3 linked regions of the Caenorhabditis elegans genome follow. The protein of the gene in region 1 interacts with the protein of each later gene in a pairwise test. Each region holds a gene or a part of one and is shown on either strand. Other genes may lie near its edges. The genes, in order: klc-2, unc-83 and unc-16.

Evidence for each region.
Region 2: the proteins of klc-2 (region 1) and unc-83 interact in a two-hybrid assay, tested with the Caenorhabditis elegans proteins (2 studies listed by BioGRID).
Region 3: the proteins of klc-2 (region 1) and unc-16 interact in binary tests that used the Caenorhabditis elegans proteins (3 or more experiments, as listed by UniProt).

Annotation. Positions count from the first base shown.
Region 1 is NC_003283.11:5,572,572-5,583,076, reverse strand, and holds klc-2 (Kinesin light chain), read left to right. Parts: upstream 1-3,572; coding exon 3,573-3,690; intron 3,691-3,742; coding exon 3,743-4,059; intron 4,060-4,110; coding exon 4,111-5,030; intron 5,031-5,080; coding exon 5,081-5,189; intron 5,190-5,815; coding exon 5,816-5,974; 3' UTR 5,975-6,340; downstream 6,341-10,505. UniProt on the Caenorhabditis elegans protein: Kinesin is a microtubule-associated force-producing protein that may play a role in organelle transport. The light chain may function in coupling of cargo to the heavy chain or in the modulation of its ATPase activity.
Region 2 is NC_003283.11:6,459,755-6,469,885, reverse strand, and holds the start of unc-83 (Nuclear migration protein unc-83), read right to left. Parts: upstream 4,822-10,131; 5' UTR 4,674-4,821; coding exon 4,602-4,673; intron 4,453-4,601; exon of another isoform or gene 4,253-4,452; intron 3,500-4,252; exon of another isoform or gene 3,319-3,499; intron 2,882-3,318; coding exon 2,783-2,881; intron 1,922-2,782; exon of another isoform or gene 1,713-1,921; intron 1,577-1,712; exon of another isoform or gene 1,437-1,576; intron 1,294-1,436; exon of another isoform or gene 1,154-1,293; intron 943-1,153; exon of another isoform or gene 794-942; intron 1-793. UniProt on the Caenorhabditis elegans protein: Cargo-specific adapter that is involved in nuclear migration during development and thereafter.
Region 3 is NC_003281.10:9,542,487-9,552,873, reverse strand, and holds the start of unc-16 (JNK-interacting protein), read right to left. Parts: upstream 6,580-10,387; 5' UTR 6,516-6,579; coding exon 6,450-6,515; intron 6,204-6,449; coding exon 6,075-6,203; intron 5,495-6,074; coding exon 5,215-5,494; intron 5,124-5,214; coding exon 4,943-5,123; intron 4,878-4,942; coding exon of another isoform or gene 4,821-4,877; intron 4,309-4,820; coding exon 4,187-4,308; intron 4,084-4,186; coding exon of another isoform or gene 4,053-4,083; intron 3,703-4,052; coding exon 3,534-3,702; intron 3,461-3,533; coding exon 3,417-3,460; intron 3,228-3,416; coding exon of another isoform or gene 3,192-3,227; intron 2,738-3,191; coding exon 2,639-2,737; intron 2,509-2,638; coding exon of another isoform or gene 2,491-2,508; intron 2,154-2,490; coding exon 1,900-2,153; intron 1,686-1,899; coding exon 1,489-1,685; intron 1,436-1,488; coding exon 1,322-1,435; intron 1,247-1,321; coding exon of another isoform or gene 1,228-1,246; exon of another isoform or gene 334-1,227; intron 293-333; coding exon 1-292. Other genes in the region: ZK1098.12 (DUF2975 domain-containing protein), read right to left, coding at 7,006-7,104, 7,153-7,281, 7,330-7,431, 7,475-7,549, 7,600-7,632; ZK1098.9 (uncharacterized protein), read right to left, coding at 7,796-7,917, 8,282-8,423; eif-2Balpha (Translation initiation factor eIF2B subunit alpha), read right to left, coding at 8,593-8,745, 8,794-8,995, 9,055-9,236, 9,300-9,565, 9,618-9,732. UniProt on the Caenorhabditis elegans protein: The JNK-interacting protein (JIP) group of scaffold proteins selectively mediates JNK signaling by aggregating specific components of the MAPK cascade to form a functional JNK signaling module.

The sequences.
Region 1 (10,505 bases):
TCCGCTATTCCCCGGCGAGCTGCTCCACGGCATTATTCCATAGTTCTTCTCTTCAGTGTTCCATACACTACTACATCACTCAAATTGTAAATCAGCGAAGAAAGGGGAGCAAAAGAAGAAGAAGGGGAGGAGTGTGTGTGATGCAAGAGAGAAGAGTTTCAAATTTCGTCGAATTGAGATTGAAATCTTCTTTGTCGCAGTCAACTCTTTTCTTCGACCCACTTCTGCCTTTTTTTGTTTTTCGATTGGAGCTCTTGACAATTTTTATACATTTTTCTTCATTTAAAAATCCACAAATAGGTAAAAAAGGGAAGTAGGATTTACGGATCTACTGGAAGTTGTTTTTCTAACAAGCGGTTTTGCTTATTATGATCACGAGCAAAACCAAAAATGTTTCCCAAGCGAACCACAATCAATGCCCGACACCATTGTGTGTGCCGCTTCTGAATGAACTGAATAGAATTCTCTCGTTTCTTCCACCAATTCTTCTTTCATTCCTTGTGCCATTTGTCTGACAAGCGAAGAGAGAAAAGAAGAGCGCCCTTAAATGAATTTGTATCGAGCCAATGGCATCGGAGGGCCATGCGGCTCTGTGTGGCGTGCGTTTCCTCACTTCAAGCACTGCCGCCACCAGCACCAGCACACAATGTTCTTTTCGGCAGGAGGCGAGGTCTATTCAGCACTTTTTCTTCACTTTTAGACCAAGTTTTCGAACACTTTTGCACCGAGTGCACACATTGATTCGTGGAAATGATTTTTTTATCCTTGAAATTGTTTTTCTGAAGAAAATATATCCTGTAAATTTAAAAGTTCAAGTGTTTATTTAAAAATAGTCAATTTAATTTTGGAAAATAAATTTTTTTTAACTGCAAATAAGCTTGTTCGGTCGACTTATAGGCTGATTTACTCATAAAAATTTCAATTCAATGGAAAATATTATTCATTTTTACTTAGACGTCTAAAAAAATACATTTTATTTTTCTTTTATTATATTTAAATTTATTCAAAACATGGTGCAATAGAAGCACGAGCTACAGTAAGTTGCACAGTATGCCGGAAATTGTTTTCTTTAGACGTCTATTATTTTTTCGTGAACAGTCAAACCCCGCTTTAAAGGCACACGATCTTTTTCTGAGTGGGTCTCGACACGATCTCAGCTATAGTGATCACAACAAGTTCCAAATTTCACAAAATTGCTGGTCTTACTTTACGAGCATACTTCACGGGCAAATTTGAGCCAAATAGAAAATTTCTGATTCCCAAAAACAATTTAATATGCCCTTATTATGTAGATGTTTATAAATGGGCATTTCTGTCGAGGGTTTCGCCACGAGAACAGCGAGTATAACTGTATTATGCAATAGTGGCTCATAAATCGACACGAGCTACAGTAACTCCTTGCCCGCGTGGTGAGACCTTGCGCGTAAGATATGGCGAAAATTATCATTTACAGACGTCTACGTAATACATGCTGAACCAAAATATTGTTCGATATTTGACACTAGAGATAAATAACCGTTTTTAACTATAACAAACAGGCCTAAACTTTGATTTTTTGGTAGAAATATATATGCTTTATACATGCACCTCGTAATAAAATGCTATTTCCTGAACTTTTCAAACTCTTTAACTCCTTCTTCTGTTCATCATAAATCTAAACTGAAAAGTTTAAGACACTAATCCTGGAGCCGAATACGAAAAAGTGCTCGTGGAAGCTTTCAAGCTGGATACCATCATGAATTTGGCCGGTTCTACTATTCAGGCATATCGCCAGTAAGTTATATTTTTAATTTGAAATGAGAATTGGAATTTAGAGTGTTGAATCATTTTCTTATCACATGCATTACTCATCAAAAAATGTTTGAAAGTTATTTCCGCTAGGGCTGTAACAAAAAATGTACAGTACATTCTAAGCGGATACCCTAATTTTCAAAAAATTTCAATTTGCATCTACCGTAAAATAAAAATAAAAATCGAAATCTACTTTCCTAGTCCTCTAATTCAAAATTGCAAGATCTTATGACAAGTTTTCAGAAATAGTGAATATATGAATCAAAACTCTTTGCCCAAATTCTAATAATTCATGAGAAGTTTATGTTAATATGTTTTATTTTTTGGTTTTTATATTTTCTGAAATCCCACCTTTCTCTTGAGAAACAAAGCAATTTCGATACTTTTTTGCATATGAAGCTAAACAAATCCTAGATGTATTCTTCATAAAAACTCAGGTGTCCAAACATTGCAATTAACTATGAAAGGATGCATCTTTCCAATTGTTTCGCAATTCTTTCTCGCCTCCGTCTCTTGCTCTCTCATTTCCTCCATGTTGGACGGACGATCAATAGTTTCTATGTTGTCTCTAATATTTCTATGATCTCTCATCAGTGGCTGCGCACGTCTCGCTGTCTATTCGCCGACACGACGAGAGCGGGCTTTCGGTTAATACAACCAAACACTCTTTCCGAACAACGTTATGTTTTACTTGTCCACACTTTATTAGCATCTTTATGTTCAGAACCATTTCTTATGAGCTTTTGCAGGAGAGAAATTATTAGAAAGTTAAAATTTGGTTTCATTTCTGCTTATATTGCGAAATTTGTACCTATAGTGTTGCACATATTTAGCTTATCTTTGACATATTCCAAAAAGTTTCTCAGTTTTCTAAAAGTTTTTCCAAAATTGTTCTAGTGCAACTCAACCTAGCAAAATCAAAGAAATATATTAGTTCTACCACGAAATGCTATTGATTTTCAAAAATTATAGCGCATAGTGCAGCCTTGATTTTTTCAAATTAAAAATTTCAAAAACCGAGTAAATAAAAATTACAAATTTTTAAAAGAAAATATCAATCCACGATGATTTTTATTTTCTCTAAAACGTGTTGAACATTTGGAACATTTTTGCTTTATTTCAACTTATTTCAAAGCAACGTTTCGGTGTAAAATAAGTTTATCGTTATTTTGTGAAAATGTGGAATGTCATTTTAAAGGCACATGCGTATTTTCTCAGGGGGTCTCGCCACGATCTCCTGTATTTCAATAGCAAATGGCAGGGCTGTTATTTAAGACGCCCTCCTCAATCTTTGAGAGCTCATTTTGGCGTTTTTTTTAACTTCAGCCATAAAATTGAAACTGGATAATATTTACCTAAATAATAGATTTTCCAAATTCTTGCACCAAATAGATCTATGGTATAAAACTGTCAGGCTGATTTTCAAATTTTTGCATTTTTTAGAATTCCAAAGTGAGCAGTATTCATGGAAAAATATTTTTTGAATCTAGTTCTACGTTTTTGAGAGAATGCAAGATTTTAATTAATTTTTGTTGTGCCATACTTTGGCATTATTTACATTTAAAAGAAAAAAAGGGTTAATTTTTTCTGATAAATCTGAAATTAAAAAAAAAGACTATCGCAAAACTTATTGAACGACCTAATAGCTATGATCTACATAGATTCAACTGTTTTTACTCACTGAAAAAATTTTCTCGTTAGCTACCAACACTTCTCGAACTTCTTCCAATTACATTTAATAGATTTAAAATTTCAGGCGAAAAATCGAGTCGCTGGCGAAAATGTCAAACATGTCGCAGGACGACGTGACGACGGGCCTACGTACCGTTCAGCAGGGACTTGAAGCTCTTCGTGAGGAACACTCGACAATTTCGAATACTTTGGAGACTAGTGTCAAAGGTATGGCTTTTTTTACGACGAGTTGAACATTTACTAAAATTCAATCATTTAGGTGTGAAAGAAGATGAAGCTCCATTGCCGAAGCAGAAGCTTTCACAAATTAACGATAATTTGGATAAGTTGGTGTGCGGAGTTGATGAGACATCGTTGATGCTGATGGTATTCCAACTCACTCAAGGAATGGATGCTCAACATCAGAAATACCAAGCTCAACGGAGACGCTTGTGCCAGGAGAATGCGTGGCTTCGTGATGAGTTGAGTTCAACTCAAATCAAACTTCAACAGTCGGAGCAAATGGTTGCTCAATTGGAAGAGGAGAACAAGCATCTTAAGTATATGGCATCAATCAAACAATTTGATGATGGAACTGTAAGTTGAATTTTTCGAGGAGCATTCTTAACTTATTTTGTTTGTTTTCAGCAAAGTGATACTAAGACATCTGTCGATGTTGGACCACAACCAGTCACAAACGAAACTCTTCAAGAACTTGGTTTTGGACCAGAAGACGAAGAAGATATGAATGCTAGTCAATTCAACCAACCAACACCAGCCAACCAAATGGCGGCTTCTGCTAATGTTGGATACGAAATTCCAGCTCGTCTTCGCACACTTCACAACTTGGTCATTCAATACGCCTCCCAAGGTCGTTATGAAGTTGCAGTTCCATTGTGCAAGCAAGCTTTGGAAGATTTGGAGAAAACGAGTGGTCACGATCATCCAGATGTTGCCACAATGCTCAATATTTTGGCACTTGTCTACAGAGATCAGAACAAGTACAAAGAGGCTGCAAATCTTCTGAATGAGGCTCTCAGTATTCGTGAGAAATGTCTTGGAGAAAGTCATCCAGCTGTTGCCGCCACTCTCAACAATCTCGCAGTTTTGTTCGGAAAACGTGGAAAGTTCAAGGATGCTGAACCGCTTTGCAAGCGTGCTCTTGAAATTCGCGAGAAAGTTCTTGGAGATGATCATCCAGATGTGGCCAAGCAACTCAATAATCTTGCTCTTCTTTGCCAAAATCAAGGAAAGTATGAAGAAGTCGAGAAGTATTACAAGAGAGCTCTCGAAATCTACGAGAGCAAACTTGGACCTGATGACCCGAATGTGGCAAAGACCAAGAACAATTTGTCATCTGCTTACTTGAAACAAGGAAAATATAAGGAGGCTGAGGAGTTGTACAAGCAAATTCTCACCAGAGCTCATGAAAGAGAGTTCGGACAGATCAGTGGAGAGAATAAACCAATTTGGCAAATCGCTGAAGAACGAGAGGAGAACAAGCACAAGGGAGAAGGTGCAACTGCCAACGAACAAGCTGGATGGGCAAAAGCCGCCAAAGTTGATAGGTATTATGATTTTTATTAGAAAAAAATAAATTAAACAAAACTGATTCCAGTCCAACCGTCACAACAACTCTCAAGAACCTTGGAGCCCTTTACCGGCGACAAGGAAAATATGAAGCCGCCGAAACATTGGAAGATGTCGCCTTGAGAGCAAAGAAACAGGTATGTAATGATGTTTTTTCTGCATTCATGGCTTCTCTATCTAGCACGCTTTACTGCATTTAAAATACAAAAGTTCAGAAAAAAAATTTAGAAGTTAGATATTAATGTTGTAAAATGTTGTATGCGTCCCCGATACCCCAGTGACAAGAATTTGCTTCATATTTACATGTATTTTTGGAACTTAAAACATTGACAACAGTTGTTTCAAACCAGGGGAGTGCGTCAAATTTGCCGAATTTGCCGGTTGCCGAACTTGCCGGACACGGTAAATTTCGAAAATTGCCGCACACATCAAAAATTCGACAATAAAATTTTGACCAAAACTATGTTTCAAACTAACCCGAAAATTAGATGCTGCCTGAACAATGTCTTGCCAACTTTTGAACCAAAATTGGCAAATACTGAAATATTGCACAAATCTGAAGCTCATTCAAACGAATTGTTTTTTAAAATTAAAGTTTAAATTTAATACGAAGCATATTCTTGTCCTCCCCAAGCCCCCATCAATAACAATTCCAGTAACAAAAAAAAACACATAAAACGCTTATTTTTGTATTTTAGTGATAGTGATGTGCTTTAGAATTTGGTCACTCGTTTCCTCTTTTCAGTATTGTTTCCTCTTTCAGCATGAGCCATTACGAAGTGGAGCGATGGGCGGAATCGATGAAATGAGCCAGTCGATGATGGCTTCTACAATCGGTGGATCCAGAAACTCGATGACAACGAGCACATCTCAAACTGGATTGAAGAATAAACTAATGAATGCACTCGGATTCAACTCTTAAGAGCATCTCTTTGCAGCACTGACTGAAAACCGCTTATCGTTCTTGTATTAATAAGTGCTCGTTGATTCAAGTTCCAAATTCTGAAATTTTGTCTCAGATCTACGAAAACTTGCTTTTTTCTTCTTTCGTTGTGTTGTGCATGATTCTTTTTTTTTTGATTGATTTTTCTTTCTGCCCCATCCCCTCATTCACAAAATCTTGTTCATAAATAATAGGGTTGAATAATTGAATGTTTCCTTGTCCGCCCCCACCAACTTTTTGGTAAAGCTTTATATTGTCTGCTTCGAATTTTCTTTTCAAGCAAAAAAAAAAACATAATTATAACAAGCTGAAAAATCGTGTTGTTGTAAATAAAGGGTTTATTTTTGAATTCTGCTTGTTACAAGAAAAAGAAAACTTCAATTTCAGATGTCCGAATCTCGAAGAATGGAACGATCCGTTATGTATTGATTGTTGCTCGACATTGTACTCCGTCATCAAGCTTTACACTTCTTCGCAAAATTCCAAAAGTTTACAAGTTCTCATTTATTTATATGTATCAAGTTCTAATTAAACACTGCTTTTCTATTTTTGTTAGCTATTCGCATAATAACATTTTTTTTTAATTATAAAAATGTGAACCCGATTAAATTGGAAAAACGTTTCGAGAAAAATTATAATTGCAAAGATTCATGATATTTATTCAATAAGACTTGAAAAACATTTACCCTGATATTCAAAAAATTAACAAAAAACAACGGTCAAGTTGGTGATTATGGGAAGGGGTTTGTATTCTATGAAGAACACGGAGAGATTAACATGAGCGGTACCAAACCCTGGTACCAGGGCTTCCTGCTGGCAGGAAATTGTCAAATTGATAACCCATAATCTCCGGACCGAAGTGAAAACTTTAGTAGTCAACGTTGCTTATATACCCAACGATTAGCAAGCGACCGACGTTTCGAAAGAAATGACAACCAAACATTGGGCGGAATTTCGTAATGTTTGCAATTTGAGGTGTAGTGGTGTATAGCAGTGGAAAAATGATTAGAAAACTGTAGTAGGCACACAAACTCCAAACAAGTCCTGACGTTGCTGGAGTTGACAATTTTCTGATAACACTTTTAAAAAACCGGGATAAAAGCGGTTAACGTAGAGGAAAGGGGGAGCAAGGCTAATGTGGAAAACGGTATATGCTTAGTTAGGGGTAGCCGACAAATTGTGGAGTATGTACTACATCGACAAAAATAAATATCACAAAGCTTAATTCAAGAGATTATTTCGCTGAAGTATTCAAAGCGTCGAAAAATATTTTTTATTATGGTGACATGAATTTATGATTTAATTTTTTAAAAATATTTTTTCTCCTTTTAAAAATATGAAACCCACTCCAATAATATTTAGGTTTTTCAAATTTTTAAAGAAATAAATTGTAACTTTTATTTAAGAAATTGCGAGGCGCGTTTAAATCTGATACTCAAATGCGTAAAAGAAAATTGTAATTGAAACAAAAAACGTGTAGAAAAACTGTGATGTTAGATCATTTCACTCGGGAATCGCTCGCCCACTATGGGGGAGTCTACGCAAGGACAACGCAAGGACAAGAACAACATTCTAATGGAATGGAAACGATTGCCCGACTGCACCAATTCTAGTTCAAGCGAACAATGATAACTTTTGTATTCTGTATTCCTTCACGTCTCCCAGCGAGCGTAATAAATTATTATTATTATTATTTCATCATTATAGGAAATTTTTGAACTCTCCTCTGTTTACAAATACCAATTTAACAAAGACTGTATTACTGTTTCAACAAGAAACAAGAGCTAAACGTCACGCGTAATGACCGTCTATTTCTCTTTCTCAATGACTAATGCATAGAGTGCCATAGATATGTGAGAAACTGTTTTCAAAAAGATCAGTGAGATCCAGTGATCTCGTGGGAGGGCACTCAAGAAACTGAGAACTATTTGTATATAAATAGAGCGAGGAATGTGTTGTTTTTTGTTCGTAAACCATCCCTCTCGCCAGTCGACACTTTCCATGTACTTTGCTCTTTCACTGTAATAGATCTTTAATCAACATACATTGTACCATTTTGCAAATCCACATTTCGATATTTGTCATCTTTGCTAGATTGTTGCACGAATGAGAAAAGTGTATCTTGTCTTGTCCTTTTTGTGTGTCGGATATGCTTTCAAGTTACACGCCACTTCAACAACAGTTAGACAGGGGAGTAGTCAAGTGACATCAAAACTTATCCAAACAGATTTTGATTTGTGATACCACTTGTATGATTTGGCTCTGATATAAAAATATCATTGAAAAGTCACGGAGAGTACCTTTTTCTCTATTCTGGTTACCATCAGTTGCTCCTAACAACTGGTCATGCTTCATGCAAATTCAAAATGAAAGTCTAATGTAGGCGATATTTTGGCATTTTTTCAAGCATGTAAAATGATAAAATGTAAGGTTTCTCAGTAAAGGCTCTCGCCAAAAAGTAGAAATGTTAAAAACGTACGCAATAATATCGTGGCAGGCACTTTCCATGCCTCCGTGACATCATCATGCCTGCCTACTTACCAGGCGAAGGACGCCACGGTAGGTATTCTTTTTGACAATTTTTTGAAGATGCACATAGTTGAATTAATTTTAAAAAATCTCGGTACTAGTCCTGAATCACCCCGCCACTTTTTTTTTTATTTGTGTATTATTTCCCCTCATTTTAATATTATCCATTTTAATAAAACGTGATGTCCATTTTCCATCTTTAGGCTTAGAAATGGTTATTTCCTAAGCCTAAAAATACAAAAACTCCACACGTTTTTATTTGAAAAAAAAAGAAAAAAAGTGGCGGGGTGATTTAGGACTAGTACCAATATCTCTATCATCTCCAAAGCTAAGCTTGATTCTTCTTTCCAAAAAAGTTTCCAACTAGTTAATTTCAAAAATATTTTAAATAAATATTTTTTAAAAATTAAAGATTGTTCCCCATCTTAGCTGAAACTCACACATTCGTACTAAAACGATTCTAACTTGGCAATTTAAAGCGAGTTTTTACCAAAGATCCAGTAAATAAATATCTCTGGAAAACCCTCACTTTTTTTAATAGAAAATTCCTTTTGTTTTTGTTTACCGTCATGAAAAAAGAAAAATCCAATTGTTCTTCAATTTTTTTCTCATTTTCTGGCCAGTATCCTGTCCATCAAATACGATACATTCACTTTTGTAGCATCAAATGAGTCAAAAAGACACACAAATCTATCAAAGGTGATATACGGAAATTCATTGCGTGCTTCTCGGTCTCCAACACTCTCCTTTTCTCTTTTTTTTTGCTCCAAATTCGTTCATCCTCTCTCCCTCTCATCAAATAACGACTTCCGTGAGAGCTCACATAAGCATAATTCAAGCGACAGGAGCTGGATGAGGAGGAGCACCTTTTCTCGTCTCGAGGCTTTCAATCTCATTTCTTTTTTCATCAACTAGAAGTCTGATTCGGACCCGAAGATTAGTGAAACGGATTAGTTGAGACATATCAGACGGCTGTGTACTCAGGATTTACTATATGAATGGGTCATGTGGTTTTGTAATTTCACACATTTTTTTCAGCAGAACCTTGTTCTTCCAGTTTTCACTAGTATTTTCAGCAAAATGATTGGCTTAACTGTGATGTACACTTTAATTTTTTCAAAATGACCAAAGCTTATAAAAAGACACCTAACAAATTGTAGATTTTTAAATTTCCAGTCAAAGGTTTGGTAAATTGCCAACATTCGAGTTCCATTATTGTTGTGCAATTTTCAAATACAGATTAAACCCAAATAACCAAGAAAGATACCCCGAAACTCGTTGTTTGATAAATTACGCACTATGTACTTGGTTTTATCGTGAGAACGTGCATTAGATAGAGAATAAATTTACATATATTCTCATCAAATATTTTCACTACCAGCATCTTTAATGATCATATCTTCTCAAAATAGCATAGCACCTCTCATGTTGCTCGAAATTTCATGTTTTGAAATTTTTCGTTTGCTCTAACAAGAGTGGTCTTTTTGTGGGGATACTGTGTGAAAATCAGGCCTGTCGTTTTTTTTTTACTTAGACCACAAATAAATGTGAACCTAGAGCTTATTTTAAGGTCAAATACTGAAAAAAAACAGAAATATCTTCCTGGGCATTTTTTTGATTATCGTAGTTGTTGATACTAGGAAAATTAGCGCTTGCGAGAAATTTTGGAAAATTATTAAAAAATACTATTTAAGTTTATGCACTTTCTCGGCACTTCTCCAAGCTGCAAGATAAGCCGAATTTTTCCAAACTCCAATTTTCGATAGAAAACAAAGTTGACATAAATCTCATTCACTCTCAAGGTAGTGTTCAATGCTTATATTGTCCAATGTTGCGAGGTTCCTGATGGGCACACCAAAAATTAACTGTGATTACTTCAAGGTTTTCCAGAGCACACCTTTTTAACTTTTAGCTTACTTTCAAACATGATAAGTTAGATTTATCCACCTCGTAAACTATTTTTTTAATTCAAAATAACTCT
Region 2 (10,131 bases), 890 kb from region 1:
TATAATAATGTTTCCATTGGAACTGAGTTGTGCAAGTAGGTAGGTAACTGTAGGGTCTGGTAGAAAAATGCCGAAATTGGAAAATTGCTAAAACAAAAACTTTCACCAACGACGCTGCGAACAGAAGAAACAACCTGGAGAATGAGTCATTTCAGTGAAACAATGCTTCTTTTCTCCACTGGGTTCAGTTTCAATGGATATGATGCATATTGTCAGCTCTCTGTCAAACAGACCAACGGACTGCGTCGTTTTGCTAATGAATACATAATGTGACATATTTCCAAAATACACTTCCAAACGAAAAGCAACGGAATTGAAGAAAGGTGATGGTGGTGGTGGTGGAAGTCGGATCAGAAGATGGATGGCGGTAAGTGGTTCGATCGGCCCTGTTGATAAAGAGCACACCAGCTCATTATTTTTATTACACACCCCCATGGAAACGTCCGATCAAAACTCATTAATTTAGATTAGGAGATGAGGAAGGAGGAGAAGAAGAAGGCACTTTGTGATGACAGGCAATGTGAAAGCTTTTGAGTAAGATCGGAATGTAATCAGAGTAAATGTGCAACAATATCAAAACATGTGGCGGTTGTAAAATCGAGGAAGACTTTTGCCAAAACGCGAAAACATAATGCCATAAAAATAAGAAGTAACAGAAGGATGGCTGAGAACCAGAGACAAAGACAGAAACCCAGCAATGGAAACTAGAGGTTTCCTCGAAAATTTTCTAATTTTTCATGAAATAGTTTTTGCCCTAATGCTCTAACCTAGAACGAAGAGTACAGTGAGTCTAAGCCCCCCTTCGAGTGGACGAATAAGACGAGTATCGGGTGCGTGAAGTGTACCGCTGGTGCTCCTGTCGCTAAGCATGCTCAACGACAACTCGGGTGCCCGATGGTGGTATAACTAACAATCCGCAAACATGAGATGACTCCGTGTCTTTTCTCCTTATTCTTCTTCCGTTACTGTTCTCGTATTCTTCACGCATGTTCGCGCCCCTATATCTTGTTATTGTTCAATGCGGAACGAATTTTGGAACTAAAGATGGAAGGCTTTAAGTTTGAGAAGAATTTCATTATGTTTTGCTTCAAAAAATTTGATATTTAAGGCAAATGAATTTTACAAAATCAGTTAAAAAAACATTGAAAAAGTTTTGAAAAAAACATAAAAGTGCGCCTCGTTCTAAAATTTGAAAATATCCAGATTCTGATATCTTTTTCTGAGAATTTGGAAACAATTTTTCAAAAACAACATTATAAGTTCACTAAAGAAGTTAAGTGATCTGAAAAAAATTAGCATCTCAGTTATCTAAAAGCGAAAAATAAAGAGCAAAATGTGCCAACCCACTTAAAAGGAAACAAATGATCTGCTCAATCTGTGTCTGTCTGAACGGGATTATGTTACTCCCCAAAAGAAAAGGAGGACGTTCGAATAAGAAAACGAGAGTAACACATCCCAAGTAAGCAAACACTGCCTCAATCGGAACACGTCCATTGGGGATTTGCTGTGGACAGCATTTTTGACAAGAAATTTGCAGCATTTTTGGATTCAGAAAGTTGACATGAGTTTTTCGGGTTACCACTAGATATTTGAAAAATTCAGTTGTACTTTTTTGGAGTGATGAAAATAAAAAGTAATTGGTAATCTTCTAATTACAACCTGATCCCCTATTGTGTCAAAATTTATCATTGAAAAGTTTAAAATTTCTAACAATAACTTCAACTCAATTCCCATCTATCTCTTGGTTCTCAACAATCTCCAATTTCATTCGGAACGGCAAAACTGCGCACACTATTGGGGGCCACTTTTCTGTGGTTCGGGGGGCGAGATGTTATTCGATACTATTTGGTATAATAATTTAGGAAAGCTAATTGAATCGAAATGTGTGGCATTTTCTCAGGAGTCAGTGGCAGATAAAATGAAGGATCTTCATCAAAATGTTTAGTAGTAGAGGTTGCACAATCAACCAACTACATTTGATTAATGGGTGACCTTCCAAACAAACGGCAATTGCCACAAAAATTGGGTGAGTATATTGAATGAGTGTGGGAGGATAAGAAGCACAGAGAGATGAGTTGCAGTGGTCATTTGTTATCTCATTGAAAAAGAGCAAACGATTTGAGGATACTTTCTTTTTAAAAATTTTAATCATCGGATATTGAGAAGTACAACTTTATACCTTCAAAAATTGGTTTTTTTTTGTTGTTTACTCTATGATTAACCGCTTAAATTTAGATGTAGTTCATGGAGTGAACAAAACTTACTAGTTAGAGCAAGAATAAGTTAGCTATGTTTTTGTGAATGGGAAGGGTTTATTTTAATTTATCATTCCTAGATCAACAAGTCTTGAAACTTCAACCAGAAATTAATTCTGGTAAACTTTATGTAAAAACTGTATTTGGAAGATTCAAAAATTCCCTAAAGCACAGGCAAAAGGCTTGTCAAGTGAATGTTTTCAGTTATCCATCACCACATCTGCCGTAATATTTTCGTACCAGGCTTGTGTTCAATTGACAGGCTCGTAACGTTTCTCTTTTTGATAATTGATGACCCCTTAAACTATTGCTATCTCTTGCTCAATCAAATGGACAACTGCCTCAAGTTTGCAAAACTTGATCTTGATATCAGAGGGCTAAGCAAAAAACTTTGTTCAAAGAAAAACTAGAAGAAAATCGAGAAAAACAGGAGGTTCTTTTGAGGCCAGCTACACCTAATTACTCTCCCAGTTTCACTTGATCCATGGCAACCAAACGACACAAGCAATAAAACAAATAAGACTTACTTTTGAGGTGAGGTTGTGCAACGAGTCGAGGATTAAATTGTAGAGCGAGGAGCAGTTCTCCAAAAAGATATCCACTTCCTCAGCCGACGATTCGATGACCTGGAAATTAAATTATTGATCATTAAAATGGGCAAAGTAACAGCTGGAAAGATATCTAGGAGATATTTTTAACGATGGTTGTACACGCGCAATTCGATCTTGTACAGCTGCGTAGTGCAATTTAATAAAACAGTTTATAATTTGATACAAATAAAAAACCAAAAAAGGTGAAACAAGATTTTCAAAAAAATGTAATTTGTTATTTTCATTATTTAAAATTGTCAAAATTATTCTGAAAAATTAAAATATGCGCCCATTTTTCTAAATGACCCTCACAAACGATTTAACGACAATCAATGGCCACCCGCTCTACCAAAAAGAAGTGCTTTGCTTTCAGTGTGACTGTAAAATTGGTAATTCCGAGTCAATTTACGATTTCTCGACCTTCCGGGCGGCCCACTTTGCAATAAAACGAAGAGTAAACCTGACGTTAATCGATTCAATTGCCAAAATTGAGAGGATCAAGGAACATGGCACAGGAATCGTTGTGTAGGAACAACCAAGTTTGGAGAAATGCACTCGAACTTGCAAGTTGCTCTTCACTGCCGAGATGCGCACCTCGAGAAACACTTATGGTATTGGGCACTCGGAATCATTCTCTTCTTACTAACAGCTTTTGCCAAACAAAGTTACTAGTAGTCGCGCTCTGGGAATGTGTGTGAATGGCGTGAGGATTCAATGGTCCGCATATTGTTTTTGGAAACAAAAAGAGAAATATGGGGTAAGTCAACAAAAAAAGGTGTCCATGAATGTGTTGACTTTGCGGTACCTTAACAAGGAAATCTGGGAAATACCTATACTTACTAATAATACAATGAAATATTTTACAAGGAACCTAAGGTGTCAGTCAATTATTTCTCATGCGAATCTTTTAAATATTAAAAAGTATCGCATTTTAAAGGTTTTACACATCATTTAGCGGACCAATTTTGATAACTTTTATGTTTTTCCTGAAAAATGGCTCTCAAAATTATGTGCAAAATCTCTGAAGATCAATATAATTATGTTGTCTGAACTTGATTCTGCGCTTTTTTGCTAATAAATGTACTTAGCACATAGAAATAATTAATATTTTTTAATGATAAATTTTCGCACACTGAAATATGGGAATGTCTTAAAATCTCTTGAAATTTAAACTCCCGTCATCAATAGTTTTACACTTTCTCCTTCAAACTTCTTTTCAAGATAACCACAGTTTTCAATTCAATTTACTTCGTCGTCCCCCACCAGATCAAAACATTCGATAAGAAAAACTAAACGATGCGGAATTTGAATGTGCGACACTAACTCTTTCCACCTCCAGTTATAAATCTTTGAAGCACAGCGAAAAAAAACTTCAGCCGTTCGTCTTTAGTCAATCGAAAGAAAAAAAAAGATAGCGTGGAATTCGGGATTTTTTGCGCCAAAATTGAAAACTCGGCCTCTCGGGCTTTTTGACAGCTTTTTGCAAACAATTGATGGCGCAAGGGTAAATGCTCAAGCATTTTTCAAAAAGGCACTTTCAATAATCAAATAGATTTGAAAAATAAAATTATTTTCGCTCGTTTTGGTTTAGAAAAAAACTACATTCTACTTTGGTTTGAATAAAGAAATCGAACTTTTAATTTTTTTTCTCCTACTTTTAACGAAATTTTACTTTTCAAATGAATTCAATATGCAAGAAAATGCGTTGAAAATTTTAAAGTATTTTTTTTTCGTAAAATTTAAAGCTCTGCCTCACCTTCAAAAGATGGTCCTCCGATGATATATCATTGGGCATCTCGACCTCCGAGAATGAGTCCATTACGTCCATTCGTAACCTGTTTTCGGGTTACTTTCGGTGTCCAGGAATAAAAATAAAAAAATCAGAGAAGTTTGTATCCAGACGTGGGATACTGTACTGGTAGGGGTGGACGATCAATTACGCATCTGCGCAATATGATCACGGATGAGAAACGGATCTGGAAAAATTTAGTTTAGACGGAAAAATACTTAATCAAAACGAAATGAGGTGAAAATTTAAAAATAGAAAAAGTATATACAATTTTTTGTGTGTAGAACAAAATAGGAAAAATTTCGTGAAAAACAAAGAAAAAGAGATTAGTTGTTTCATTGGAGCTGAAAATAAATTTCAAGAAGAGATTTCTGTTGAGATCAAAGTCAAGAAACGGAAATTCAAGTCATATTGAGGATAGAAAATTTGCAAAATATATACTCAATTCAAAACTAGCCTAGTTTACCAAAAATCTATGAAAATTGTGTCGAGCAGTAAAACATCCTTTTAAAGATAATAAAAAATGTTTTTAATAAAAATGTAGAAACACACGAAAAACTTCATAAATGTTTTACTTATGTATAGTACGGTTTCCATAAAATTTGTTAGGCCAGTTTTTGAAAATCCAAATAAAAATCCATGGATTTCATGCCCTGGACAACAAGCCATCGCCCGCAAAAATGTTCGCAAATTAAAAGATAAACATAGAAAAGTGTGAGATGCTCGAAATCTGCCCCCCAATCCGAAGTCTCCGCCTTAATAAACAATAATACTGATGAGAGAGGAGAATCTAGAGAGTTGGGAAGAGAAGCTTGTGATGATGATGGATTATCATGTCATTCACACAGTTTTCGTTTCTTTTCGACACCTGATAAAATAATAAAAGATGATAATTATGATGGAGATATTGTTTTATGAATTTTTATGAAGATTTATGAAGATATGAAAATATGAAGAGATAGGTGTGAAAGTGATAAAAAAGAGATTGGACCAGGGAAATCAGCTGGAAGATTTTATTTTGTGTGAAAAAGTCTCGTGATTTCCAATAAAAAATATTAAGCAAAATTTATGGAAATTATCACAACGAGGTCCAAGAAATTTCCAAATTACTACAAAATAGGTTGTAGCTTTCAAAAAAAATGTAACTTGATTTAGAAAGTTCTGGAAAATATCAATTAACAAAACGTTGGAAAAAATATTTTTGAACTTGTTGAAAATTGAATTAAATTCCTTTTTTTTAAATTCAAGTTTCCACCCATTCATTTTTCAATTAAAATTGAATCTATGGAAAACTGGAAAGGAACAAATCGAAATTTTGAAAATGTTCACGAATAGATGTCCAACAGCACATGGCCCTGACACTTTTCGAATTTATTGGTTTTGTTGCAACAGGAAGTTCCCCCAATAAATGTGATAGAAACACAGTGAAACGATGGGATAATGGACCCAAGTTAATGGAGTCGGAAACGGCAGACAGCCCCGGCTCATTTATCACCAATGTGCGAAACATTGTGATACTAAAGTAGAAAAGGAACACTTTGTAGTGCCCGAATGTTTTACGAGTTTTAGAAATGATTTGAAGTACAATTTAGAAATTTCATACTTGAAATATTCTGAAGAACATTGCAAAATTTCAAAAAGAAAACATTTGTTTCTAGACTAACATCAAAATTACAACGCATTACCAAAACTGCAGAATAAACTTCGAACGTCGTGTCTAATTTGTTTCACAATTAAAACTATTTAGGCCCTTTGTCTCAAATGTTTGAGGGAATCTACGGCAAGTACTTGCATTACTATCAATTTGGTAGAATGTTGGCTCTGCATTGGTTGATAATAAAAAAGAAGAGACAACCGTTTTTATTTGATAATGCAACAAAATGTCGCCCAAACTGCGCTTCTCGTTTGCCCCCAGTGACTCATAGAGGGGTAACACTTTCAAAAACAGTTAGAAAACTTCAGCTCCTTCTCAAAATGCGTAAAGCCATTAAAAAGTTTTCAAAAGAAAATTATGCCTGAGCTGATCAGTTAATTGAAGAATTTTGAGTGTTCAAATGCCAGCAGAGAATTTCCAAAAACACTTTAAAATTTCAATATTAATTGTAAGCACATTAATAGAAATTAATTTAAATTCCAATATTTCAGAATACTTCCTTTTCTCCGAAAACCTTTCAAACAATGTCATCTTCAAAATGAACATGATGCTAATCAGTTCATTGATAATTTACTTGATACTCCTATGCCAATGGAGTCATAAAGGTTGAAAAACTCAGTCGACACGTAAACATTTACTACCACCTGATACTATCTCGATTGCTACTGTGAAAATTGGCAGGAATGCAAGAAAACAACGGGCGCCTGTAACTAAAGGCGGTCAGCACCAAGACAAAAAACGACAAAGAAATGATAATTTGTGTATGTGTGGAAGAAACGCAGACAGTTGAAGAAGTCAAAGACATGATTGAAAAAGTCAAACAGTTTGTGTTGACGACGTGGGAACCATCAGGAGACACACATTCGATTATCGAGCTGTTTTTAGTTTTCTTTTTGAAGAATGATAGTCTAGGGCAAGCGTGTGGGAGTAGAAGGGTTGAGAGGAAGACAGTGCAACATTGCTGGCTGGGTGCCAATTTTTTCAAATGTGAGAAATTGATCATGTGAATATATTTATAGAGACTGACATAGATAGACAGATGATTGAGAAGCAGAGTGATTGTGGGAACAAGATGGATCGTATTGTAATTTTGAAAGGAACACGAGGTTCTATAGAAAATTAGTAAGTAGTGTTTATTTTATTTTAATTGCATAAAAATAATTTTCTGATAGCATCACAAATGTCAAAAACATGTTTAGTTTGGCTCTAGCTAATTATCTAAGTTGAACTCAATAAATGTTAAATTGTGTCAAAAGTTGGGACTAGTTGGGCAAACGATGGGCAAGTTTTGGGAAGACTTTGGAAACATTTGGTCAAGTTTGACCCATTTTTTGTCAAACTCTTGCCAAGTTCAAAAAAATTTTGGACAAAACTTCGGCCAAAGTTGGGTTACACTTCATCATAGCCTAAACCAACTCTTCCCCAAGTTTTACCAAATTTTGTTCTAATAGTAAGCTAATATTTTTGGGCCAAGCTTGGCCAAGAAACTAGAGCCAAATGCCTATTATAACTGTGCTGTTATAAAAAAACTACCACTTTATTTATTGTCAACAAGTGCTCGAAATATTTGCAGCTCTAAAAAGCGGACCAAAAATGGAGTTGAGAGAAAATAACTTCAAGAGCCTCTAGGTTAGCAGAATCTAGACGTACTTTGTTACAGTCCAATACAACAGTACATATAATCCCCAAAAATCACCTTCCATACGCTTCATTTCTAGCGGATAAAAGAAAAATGGGAAGCTGGAATGATCTTTGTGAAGGGTGAGGCTGATGGCGGTAGTACAGATGATTCAGACAACAAACCAATGCTTCCTACACACTTTCTCCATTCCGTCTATTTTTTTTATTTCATCCAGAAGGGATTCGGATTACATTTCCGACATTGATACGAAATTACCATCATAATAATCGAATCAATGTTGAATGGGTGGTCAACATGCGGGGACAGGGAGTGGAATGCAATTCAAAAGGTGAACAGAGACATTCCAACAGGTAGATTTATAGCTCACTATAGTGCTTGGTTTAACGCTTTTTCTTGTGATGTCCCAATTTTTCGGTCAAAAATAAAAGCAGGTACACCGGTGGTCGCGGAAATACGTAAAAACTGCGACTTGATGATTGCTGCAATCACGAGCGACGAGATCGTAAAATGGACCCGTTTATGGTCACGATGACTTCTTTTATTATGTGCTGAGTTGTGACTTTTTTGGTTTTTAACTGGACTTGTACGGGAAAACATCAAAAACCGAAAAGTTATCTAATCCGAGTATGCTTATTTTCTAGTTAAAATGTTATGAATCATTGAAGAAATTTTTCAATTTTCACTACTGATGAATTTAATGCACATCCACAATACGTTATTTTAGGTTTTTTGTTATAGTAAGAATAGAAAGAAACGCACGAGAAATACCAAAAATTATTATATTTATTCAAAACGTTTGAAAAATATAAAAGCGAAAACTCAATATTTAACACTAGAGGCAATTTCAAAATTATTTTTTTTAATTAGGTATGAAAAACTTTAACAGAGAAGAGAAAACTTCCAATATTAATATTATCGTTTTGAATAAATTTTGGAATTTTTTATGTGCTTTAAGAATCTATGTGATGCAAAATATATTCTCTATTTGAATCTTTGAAAACCTAAATAATTAATTTTTTGGGGAATTTAGAGGTACAAAAAATTTGCTTTCAAAACATTATTATAGATTCATTCTTAAAATTTCACTATATCAGCAGTTGGAAAAATTTTAAAATATAGTAGACGAAACAGATCTAGAACGGAAAAAAGTGGGAACAAGTTGTAAGAGACGTCACTATTTTTATCGCCTCTCAAAGCCATTAGAACAAAAAATGCTGCTGCAATTAGCAGATTGTTCAATTAGTGAAAAGACACAGAATGTCAACATTAAAAGTTGAAAAGAGGAAAAGAACAAAGATTTGTTTAGTTACAATTGAATGGAACAAGTAAAAAACAAATCAAGTGTCTTCTAATCAGTGCACAAATCTATAAATGAGCACGAAGTGGGTGGCAATTCACAGGGCGACTGTTCGTCATGATAGACTCACGCACATGCGCGAAATGAGCAATCTGCGTGTTAAACCTTACGCAAACGGTAGCTTCTTTGGCTCGCGGAGTCTTTGCGTAGCATAGAGCATTGCGAGAAGCGTATTATTTTCTCGAAAACTACTTACTTTTGAGCATGAAGGGGAATAGTCGTGTAAGAGATAGTTGTAGGGGAAAATAATATTTTGAAAATTATTAAATCAATCTTTGAAAAAAAAAGAGATCAATCTTTTCTGCCAAAAGAGAAATTTATGTAATTTCATAAATCAATGTTTCTTCAGAAAAACTCTGTAATATACAATCAGCAAAAATTTTAATTTCACCATTGCCAAAATTTTAGAAAAAACCTAACTACATATAAGAAAGAATTTATTTTTTGAGCTTCAAACTTTTGAAGAAATATTTAATTTTTAGGGCAAAAAGCACAAACTTTGCAGTTTATTTCACTCAAGAAGAGTCGTAACACCTTTTCATTTTTTTATAGGAATCTTTTTTTTGCAAAAACAAACAAAAGTGCAAATCACGCGTAAGTGGCGGCGATCCGAAATTGTATAGAGACACTGGGGCGGATCACAGACAACACATACAAACGCATGTCTCGGTTTCAATCAAATCGCATGAGATCAGGCCCTGGGTGCCATGAAAAGTGTAAGGAATATCAGAACGTGATGGCATTTAGTGGTGGACAACAACAAGAGAGAAAACGGACTATGCAAAAATGTTGACATTTGAGACGACGAGAAAATGAAGAGGCAAGGGATCGCATCCACGACAAA
Region 3 (10,387 bases), on another chromosome or scaffold:
CTTCGTCTTTTTCATCGAAGCCGGAGCGAAATAAATCGGATCTCCAACAATCCATTGCCCTCTTTCATCTCTTCCACCTCTCAGAACAACTCCAGTGGCACACCATATTTTCAAAGATGGTTCGTTATCGAGAAGTGGACGACAACAGACAGGAATCGGAACAGATGATACTTCAGCTTCAACATTCGGAAGTGACCATCCATATGCTTCAATTCGACCATCTTCCTTTTTCACATGTTCACGTACCAATTTGTACTGCTCTCTTCTCTCGGCAGCACGTCTCTCCGAAATCCTGAAATACTTTTCTCGATTGATAAATCGATCGAACAATAAAATCAAAAATTCTTTATCATCCAACTATGAAAGATTCATTTGGATATTTACAACACATCACAACACAATATAAATGGATTGGGAAAAGGCATGCATTATGAGAATGAATGGGAAAGTTAAACCCGTGGAAACATTTTACAAGCAATTAAATAGAAAATAAGAACTAAAAACGAAGATAATAAATTCTAGAGAATTTCATAAGATTCTGGAGTTGCGTCAACTTAGGGAATTGTTTTCAGAATTAGTTGAAAGTCAGCAAAATTCTATTATGGGGGCGTAAAAAATGTATTTTGAAATCTACATGAAAACGCGTTCCACGGTCAATTTAAAACGCTCCGCCTCCGAACCATGGGTCTCATTGGGTTTTTGACGACAATTTCGCCAATTTTCAAGGATTTCCAACTTTTTGTAATATTATTTTTGTACATGTTTATGAATTTTATTTCACCAATTTTTAGATATTCAAAAATCATGAAAAACAACGAAAACATTATTTTTAAAAAGTCGGAAATGCTCGATAATTGGAAAATCTAGTTAAAAAAGTCACCTAATGAGACCCATTAATTATGGGCGGAGCGTTTCTAATGACCATGGAGCGCGTTTCCACACCGATTTCCAAAGGCTCTTTTTCTACGTACCCATAATAAATATTATTTTGTAACGCAACTTAAAAAGGTTAGTTTCAAAAAAAGATCAAACCAAGTCTCTGGGAAAATGCGGGTGCATAAAATGATCGGATTCCAAATGTTTGTTGATTTTATGTATAGTTAAAGCTGTTTATAAGTGCGTTCATTATGAATCTAGGTGTTGAGTGAGTGCAATTATAAGTTCTATTTAGAGAGAGATAGAGAGTTCAACAGATTGGTCTTCGAAGCATCACAGGATGAGAGGGTGTTACCGGGAGAGATGAATCCTAGAAAAAAGAAAAAACAACACCATTCATACTACGTGCCCAACAAAAAATAATCTCTACTCTTCAACAACTAACATGTCTGGGTCGATATACTCCACAGAGCGAGTCATCTTGCCGCGCGATGAGCTTGCACGATTTCCCCGCGACGATGCGGGTGGGGTCACTGAATCACCCAGGAGACTTGAGAAACTGTAAAAAGAGAAAAGGATCAAGAAGCACGAATCGGCGATAAATTAGCTAACAATTCCCAAATTCCGCCAGATTTCTTCTGATTCACATTCTGCTGCTGTTGTTGCATCTTCTTTGCTCGTTGCATTTCAGTCCACTTGATAGACTCTTCGAGTTCCATAAGCTTTTCTTTGTATGCATTTCGATCCATAAGAACACGCTGCATTTCTGAACGAGTGAATCGTTTTCGCATTGCCATTGGAACATCATCCTGAAAGCATTTTTTAAAAAATTCAGAAACAATCAAAAATCCCACTTTTAAAAAGAGATTTGTTCAAATGAATTGTGGATAAACTTTAAAAAATTAGATTTTTCAATCTTCCTCGATTTTTTGATTTTTAGTGGTATTTTGGAATCTAGGGCACTCTTTTTGGAATTTTTGAAGCAAAATATATTTTTTACTTCTAAATTTTAAAAAATCAAACCTCTTCTTGTTCATTTTCCTTCTCCATAAGCTTCTGCTTGAGCGTCTTAATCTCCTCCTCATGCTTCGTAATTTGCTCCTGCATCTTCTCACTGACCATTTGTCGGCTCAGATTCTCATCTCTCAGAATCATATTCTCACTGTTCAGCTCATCGACTTGATTTATAAGATCGTTCTTGACAATGTTCAACGCGTTTTTCATATCGAGAAGCTCGGAATTCTCCTTGATCAGGTTCTCGACTTCACGGCCCATTCCTTAAAGAATAAAAGTTGAAAAATCGTGTTGGAAAGTCATTCGATAACACAGGGTAAGCGCTTGCATGAAAATCTTCGAGTTTAAATATATACTAATTAATAAATTTAATAAATATTCTGAATTAATAGCGAGGAAGATTCTCATAAACTATCAATTGCATGCTGTTTTTTAATGTCTCTGTGATGAAACGGAATAAATTTCGGAAAAAATAGTGACGAAACCAATTGAGTGAAACATAAATATATGTGAGTTTAATTTTAATTTCAATTTTAAACTTTTTAATATAAAACAAGTGCTTCAAAACACAATCACGACATTGTTTTTGCTTTAACTTACCAATGAACGTGTCGTTAACTGTAAAAATAGAGAATGTTAAATCAAAAAAAGAGAGAGAGATGGAGATATATATAGAATCGATTATGCAAAACTCAAAAAAAAATGGCCAGCGCTCATGCACATGCTCCAAACTACGTGTGTTCCCTACCCAAACTTCCATCGTCCGAAGTGTCATCATCGTCGAGCATTTCATTTGGTCGATGTCTTCGTGGTATTAATCCAAGACCATTCCAATCCGATTCGTCATCTGACAAAACACAAAAGGCACATCAAGTAAATACAATACAACATCTAGTTTTTAGGTTGAAACCAAAATTTTGAGGGAATAGCGACTAAGTTGATAGACATTCAGAAATTTCAAAAATCACGCCACGCCCAAGGTCCGACATCTACCGGGTTCCGCCTCTCACGCTAGCAGTGAGCTCAGATAAGATGAGAGGCAAAACCATTTTATGGGTGTGACCTAATTTTTAAATATTGTGTGTACACACTTACTGTGTCTTTAGAGGGTACCGAGATTTTGAAAAAGCTTTCACGTGTTTTCTCTACAACATAATCTATATAAAAGGTGCACGGGGAAAGTGAAAAAATGCATGCATTGTAGACTTCAGTGTGGTGAAATACCGGACAAAAGCTGGCCGAAAGCAAGCAAGAACAAGGACCACAAGGACCAATACAACATTGAAAACTTAAAAATTTACCCGCTGAGGCGAACTCTGCTGGATCCACTAGATTTCCTGTCAAATTATGTGTGGATAATCGATAAATTGTCAAAAATGAAAAAAAGTCCCCGTGTTTGTGTGATTTGAAGAAGAAATTAGGTTAGTGTGAAAAAAAATGAAACGACACACTCTAATTAGTGATGGACAATAGATAAATTAGACGATTTCACTTGATTTTTAATTATTAAATACAAAAAAACCAACCTGTGAGATCAGCACCGAGCAAATCGTTATTTTCCTTGGGATCTCTGAAAAATTGGAATAGATTTCAAAACTCTTATATAAATTCCTAATAAAATTTTAAAATCATAATTAACTTACACAGAAGTTGTCTCGTCAGCTTCTTCCTCTTCTGATTGTTTCGGTGAAGCAGCTTCTCGTTTAGGAGTCGGCTCTTTGGTTGTAATTGGTGAAGTCAACGCATCAGCAGATGATTGTGGAATATCCCTGGGTGATGGTTCGATATCTGATGAGAATTCGTCTTGCCAGTCTGGAAAATTAGTATTTTAAGATTTAAAAGAATGAGGGTTGCAATTTCCATTGAGAAAAGGTGCGGAGCGGGTTTTTTTTCACTTTTCAACAGGAAACATCGTACGGAATACAATTAAAAATGGTTTTTTAATGGGAAATTTAAAATTTCTTTCCAACTGAACTGGTTTATTTAAGCCAAAAAGGTCTAAAAATTGAGCAATAAACCAATGCAGTTGGAAAATAAGTGAATTTACAGAAAAAAATCCGTTGGAAATTTCCTGTTAAAAAAAGTTTTAAAAAAACGCGCGGCGGTTGCGAAAACCCGTGCCGCACCTTTGCAGCATGGAAATCGGAAGAAAACTGGCATACCAATAAAGGTTAGTTGAGGATTCGAGTTCATGTTAGTTAAAAATTATCGGAAATAAATAAATAAACTAAATTTTGCGATATATAGAATTTTTTGTATTTTTACATATTTGTGAAGGGTCGCGTAAAAAACTCACCTTCGTTTGTGATGTGATTTGCAAGATTAACATCCATCGTGGTTGATTGTGTCATATGAGCAGAAATAAGATCAGATACTCCACGAATTGATGATGCATCCACAGAAGCAGCCATGCCCATTCTGTAATTTAAATAATATCTTTTAAAAATTAAAATTTTGATTTTAGGGGACCGAACCAAGTTATTAAAGGTGGAAGAAGTGTTTGCCTAACAAAATTCTTTTTGGAAAATGATAAAATTGGGAATTTTGCTTTAAATTGTATATCGTAATGAGCGAATTTATACAATTTTTTTAAACAATAAATATAATTGAAGCATTTTCAAAGATCTATATCGTTTGCGGGAATTTAACAACAAATATCGCATTTTTTGCAAAATTGGAGAAAACATAAAAATTTAGAAAATTTTTTTAAACAGTAATTATGATCTCTTTTCTGACATTTAGAGCAGTGATAAAAAATTTGGAAAATCAAGAAAATAAAATAAATTCAAAAAAATTGGTGATTTTTATTTCTTCATGCGCTTCAAAATTTGGAGTGAAGTGGAGGATAACCAAATCGAAAAAAAATCAAAAATTTGAAAAATAAAAAAACCTTCCCGAAAAATAACAAAAATTCCAGACACAAAACTCACAATGACAAATTACTTTGATCACCACTCTTATGTAAGCGATGTGATATTGGAAACCAACTACAAACAACGACACAACAGTCAAATATTAATCACTTTTTTAAATTTAATTAAATTAAACTTACTTGTTTCGAAGTTGCATATTTGGCAATGGCATATTCTGCATTAATTCGAATTTTTCACTTCCCATTAGATATTTTGTACGTTCCATGTGATCTACATGGGTTCGTAATAGAGTATTATATCGTTCGTGGAGACGATCGAATTCGAGCTTTTGTTCCACTTCACGTTCTTCCAGACGACTGGCTGAAAAATAATACTTTTTTTAAAAATTTATCCAAGAAAAACACAAGAGTTAATAATTGAGGTGACAATTAACTAACTGTAACAAACTAACCGTGATCAGTGGCATTTTTGGCTTTCAACTCGAGCATCCTCATTATTGATTCAAGTGACTCTATCTTTTTGTCCAACTCTTTATTCTGACCAATCAACGTGTCTTCTATTTCAATATATTTCTGTTCTGTCTGCTTTCGAAGTGCTTTTTCACGTTCATATTGTGTCTGAAGCTGTTCATTGTCCTCTTTGAGCATTTCAAGTTCTGCAGTCTGCTCGTCACGTTCCAAATAGGCAAGATCCAATGCTTCGAGCACATTTACAACCAATGGCATCAGAGTCTGAAAATGTTTAGTTTATTGAATGATAATAGAGAAAGAGAGAAGAAAATTAGCATAAATTTACCTGCTGACTGGTTTAACATACTGAATTTAGTATTGAAGTAGAGTAAAAACATAGAATTTCAATTTCTGATCAAAAAATGGTCTAAAAAGTCCGAATTTCGTAAAAATATCATTTAAAAGTTCTTCAATTAATTATGACGATTCTATGTTTTGAAAAATATTTAACTATGAGCTAAAATCTACAATTTTGCATATTTTTCCGTGCCACAGCGGTCGGAAATTTATTTTCATTCGATTTTCGCTTATTTTGTCGTTTATCTCGTGTTACTTCGTTGAGTTTGGTACATTTGAAGCGATAGGCAACTAAAAATAAGCAAGATCGAAATGATGCTCAATAAAAATTCATTTCCGGCCGTTGCGACACGGAAAAGTTGGCAAAATTGAAGATTTCAGAAGAAAGAAAGCGTTTTTTTTTTCAAAACCATCAGTCTTATTATGAAATCCGGTTGTTTTGGGACATTTTTTGCGAAAACAGCCATTTAAATAAATTTTAAAGTAAAATTCCGAAAAAACTCACTTTCACGCCATCTTCTCCGTGAACTTTTATCATTGTTTCCAACTCTCGATAAATTGCCGAAGCCATTGTCTGCACTTTATCCGACATTGTTCGATGCTCATCTGGTGAGCCGGGGCCGCCGTACACAATCTGAGATAACATTTCTCCCATCAATATCGAATGCAGCATAAAAAAATCCTCCTATTACCCGTCCCAACTGTTTTGTTGTGTCTAGCGACAATCAATAATGAAGAGAGAAGTGCGGAAGAGAAACATAACGGTATTTACTGGCCGAGGAATAGTAGTAGGGGGCGACGATAAGAGAACCGAGATAACTATCGGGAGACGCTGCTGCTGCCACTCGGTTGCAACAATGGTTCATTTGCCACCACTTACCTCAGACGGTGTGCTGCTCGTAATTGAGTCTGCCATCTCATTCACCGGTGACAAATTGCAAGCCATTTTTTCAGTCGTTCTGTCGATTATTGGTCCATGTGAGAGCAAGTTGACGAGACAATTCTACAAATTATGTTGCTTTTGTGCTTTGCAATGAAAAAAGCTATGTAAATAAAGTGCCACTCCTTCGCCGCGGCGACAGAAAATCAATAAAAGAAGGCTGGGCGCATGTGTGAATCTCGTGGATGAGAGAATACGGTAATTGGCGGAAGAGGAGCGTTTTGTGCGTCACGCACTACACGCATGTCGAGTGGGTTTTGCCGTTTTGCGCTTCAGAATTTATTTTTCTATTGAATTCAGAATAAAAACACTTCATTAGAAGTTTTGCATGAATAGAATTTCAATTTGCGCCGCTATTACGAATTTTTATATAAACTCTATCAAAATTATGTGTTTCTTAGGCTATTTTTGCGTCAAAACCACGAATTTAGTGTGACAACATGTGTTAAAACAATGAAAAAACAAATACGAAAGAATCAGTTTATTACGAAATAAATCAACGTTCATCATTATCTTCCTCAGGATATTCCGGGTGGCTCAGGAACGCTAGAAGCACTTGCACCAGAGAAATCATCAGAACAATTCCCACTCCGACCTGAATTGTTGGATTAAAGAGAAAATCATGTCGATTAATATAATTTACATCCAGAAGCACAATGCAGTTTTTAATTGCTGTATGCTCGTGGGGAGCTTTGGCACTGAATGTGTACACGATGAAGAAGATGAGCGAAAGCAACGATGTGACTGGTGCTGGAGCATGATAGATGGCCAACTGAAATTTTTGTAGAATGTAAAATAACTTTCTAAAACTAGGAATTACTTTTCTTTGGCTCATTGCCAACATGCATTTAGATCGACTCAAAAACAACAGAGCGATGAATGTGATGACTGCGAGTACGAGGAAAACGCTACCTGCTGAGAGCTGAAAACGTAGAGTTAGGAACGTCTTTAAGATGAGAATTTACCATCCAAAATGACGCGAGTCCAGATACGTACCCCATTGGAATAGTTCCCTGGAGTAGAACAGTCACACTAATCATCTGAAAACCAAGAAGATTCCCAAATAATCTGCTGAAAACTAGAAACTCACAATATTTGCCACAATGAGTTTGTTCAAAAGCATATTTCTACTTTACAAAGATTTGTAACCGTATAACCCTTTTGCTAGATTTGAATTTAACGAAATGAGTAGGAAATCAAGTTAAAAGTGTTGTCTATTTTATAAATTAAAAGAACGTAGAAAAGGTCTTCACGAAGAAATTTAAAATTTATTCAAAAAAAAAAAATCAGACTTCTTTCTTGGCTTTTTTCTTCGGTTTCGACGAGGATGTTTCAGTTGATCCTCCACATTCTTCTTTGATCGTTTGCATTCCTTCGATACCGTTCAGTTTTTTCATGTCTTCTTTGCCTGAAAATGTGCAAATTTTTATTCTTCAGCATTACTATATTATCCAGATAATTTTGCGATTTTCGTCATGCTAATACGATACCCGGTCTCGATACGGCAAAGTTTTTGATAGATCCAAAGAGGTGTGCGCCTTTAAAGAGTACTGTAATTTCAGATTTTCGTTGTTATGGAATTTGCATCGATTTTTCATAGTTTCAGATAAATAAATAAATATTTAAATATCGAAAAACTAATAAAAGTCTAAAAATTCGAAGTACAGTACACTTTAAAGGCACACACCTTTCAGAATTTAACAATTGTAGCGTCGAGACCGGGAACCGTACTTTCTGGGTAAAAATTGCACAATTTCGCAACAAAAACTAACCTGCAGGTTTACAAACCGCACTTTTTGAATGAAGAACTGTCAGAATCACGAACACGATTGTAGTGATGATTCCGATACCTCCGAAGACAGCCGAAACTATCATTAGCATGCTAGATGGCAAAATAAAGTGCTTTTCACTCATCTTTTTGATGAATGAGCGTTTTTAAAAACTCGAAATGAATAGTTTTGGGTTCCACGTTATTTTTTATTTTTGTAAAAGAAAAAAACCAATCATAATTATAAAAAACAAAACAAGAACAAATTAATTTAATTTGATTGAATTAAATACACGTTCAAATAAATTTCTACCCTCAGATATACATTTTAATGAGTTCTTCTCCAACAGCTTCAGGCTTCATTGCGCCGACATCAGTAATGATCAGTGTCAGAAATTCGGGTGCGGTGTAATCCACATCGGGATGCTCCAATTCTAGGTTGTTTCTCTCAATTACTGATGTTCGATACTGAAATAATGAAAGATCTGATTGAGTTATTTGATATAAATTGATTACTTTGAATTCTTGGGGAATATCGGCCTGGTTGAGTGGGAACTCCCGTACAAACTTGATAGTTTCAGCGCAAACATAGACGGGAACATGCCGTGATTTTGCGATGATACAAACATTAACAGTTCCAATTTTATTGATGATTCCACCGGTTTCCATGACTCCTTCAGCGCCAACTAGAACTGCTTGAATTCTTTCCATGACATATCTTAAAAAATAAAAAATGTATATACGTTTTTCTTATTGTTTTTTATAATTTCCACTCACCCCACACAGCTATCTAGAACTAAAGTAGTTGGAACTCCATTCTTTTTCAATTCTTCAAACACTAGTTTTCCTGAAGCATCCGGTTGCGATTCGGTGACCCAGACATGAAGGTGATATCCACTTTTGTGAGCATCAAGAATAGTTTCCAGAACCACTTTGCTGTATGAGTGTGTCAGAATATTCTAGAAAATACAAAGATTAAAATACATTAAATAGGAATTATTTAAATAGAAAAAAAAACGTACCATATGATGAGTGAAAAATAGACGAGCGCACTTGGAAATTTTGGCTCGAGAACCTCTGACATTCTTTATAAATGAGCGTGCTCGTTGGCGATACAGATCAAGAACTTGAGAAAAATCTTCTTGATCGAGAAGAGCAGCTGGAGCCAGAGAAGTGAATCTGGTGAACAAATCAGCGGCACTTCGAATTGATGTTGAGCTGTAGTCCGTTTTCTCGAGAGCAGCAACTACTTGATTTAGCTCATTTTGAAATTCGGCAACGGTGGTGGCTGTAATTAAGCAAAAAATTAATTGCCTAAATATTCAAATTCAGGAACTTACCGCGACTCCGGTCTAAAACCTCGAGCAGTGTTTCCACTGTGGCTAGACTCGTTGATTTGCTTGGATCGTTTTCAAGTTTTCCACGGAAAGATGAAATAATGCTTTCTTGAACCATGTTAGATGGAAAAAGTCTGCAAAAACAATAATGGAGAACGTTTGTCGTAGAAAGAAGAAATATTTATAGAAAAAATTTAATGAAAAAATAATGATGTAAACGCGCTCTATCGTTACGCAGAGAAGATAAGAGTTAGAGAGTTAGACAGTTTTGATAGTGGCAAATTTAAAAACAAAACATTTTTTTACTTATGTATTTAAAAGGTTTCGTGAAATTTAATTTATTTTCTCAATCTCGAATAAACATTTTAAACATATTTTTTGAGTCAGTCAGTTTACTTTCTACTCTCAACTATTTACGCATCTAAAATCTCCCATTGTGTGGCGAACTAAATAGGATAATAAATAATAATTTTCCTTTTCGAAACTTTTATACTATAATTAATTCCCTCAATTTGCTCCATAATCTCCATTAATTTTCCTCGTGTAATTGCTTCGTAGATCATTTGAATCGCCGCCGTGATACAGTACTATTCGCTAACCTGCACATCTTAAATACCATCGACAATTTTTTAAAAATTCATTTTCCATTTTGTTCATTGATTTCTTGGTTCTTTTTCCATTATTTTTGCCTCAATTTGTGCAAAAAGTGCTGGATATCGAATAATCCACAACGCTTTTCTGTTGTTCTTTCGGTTTTTGGGCCGTTTCTAGAT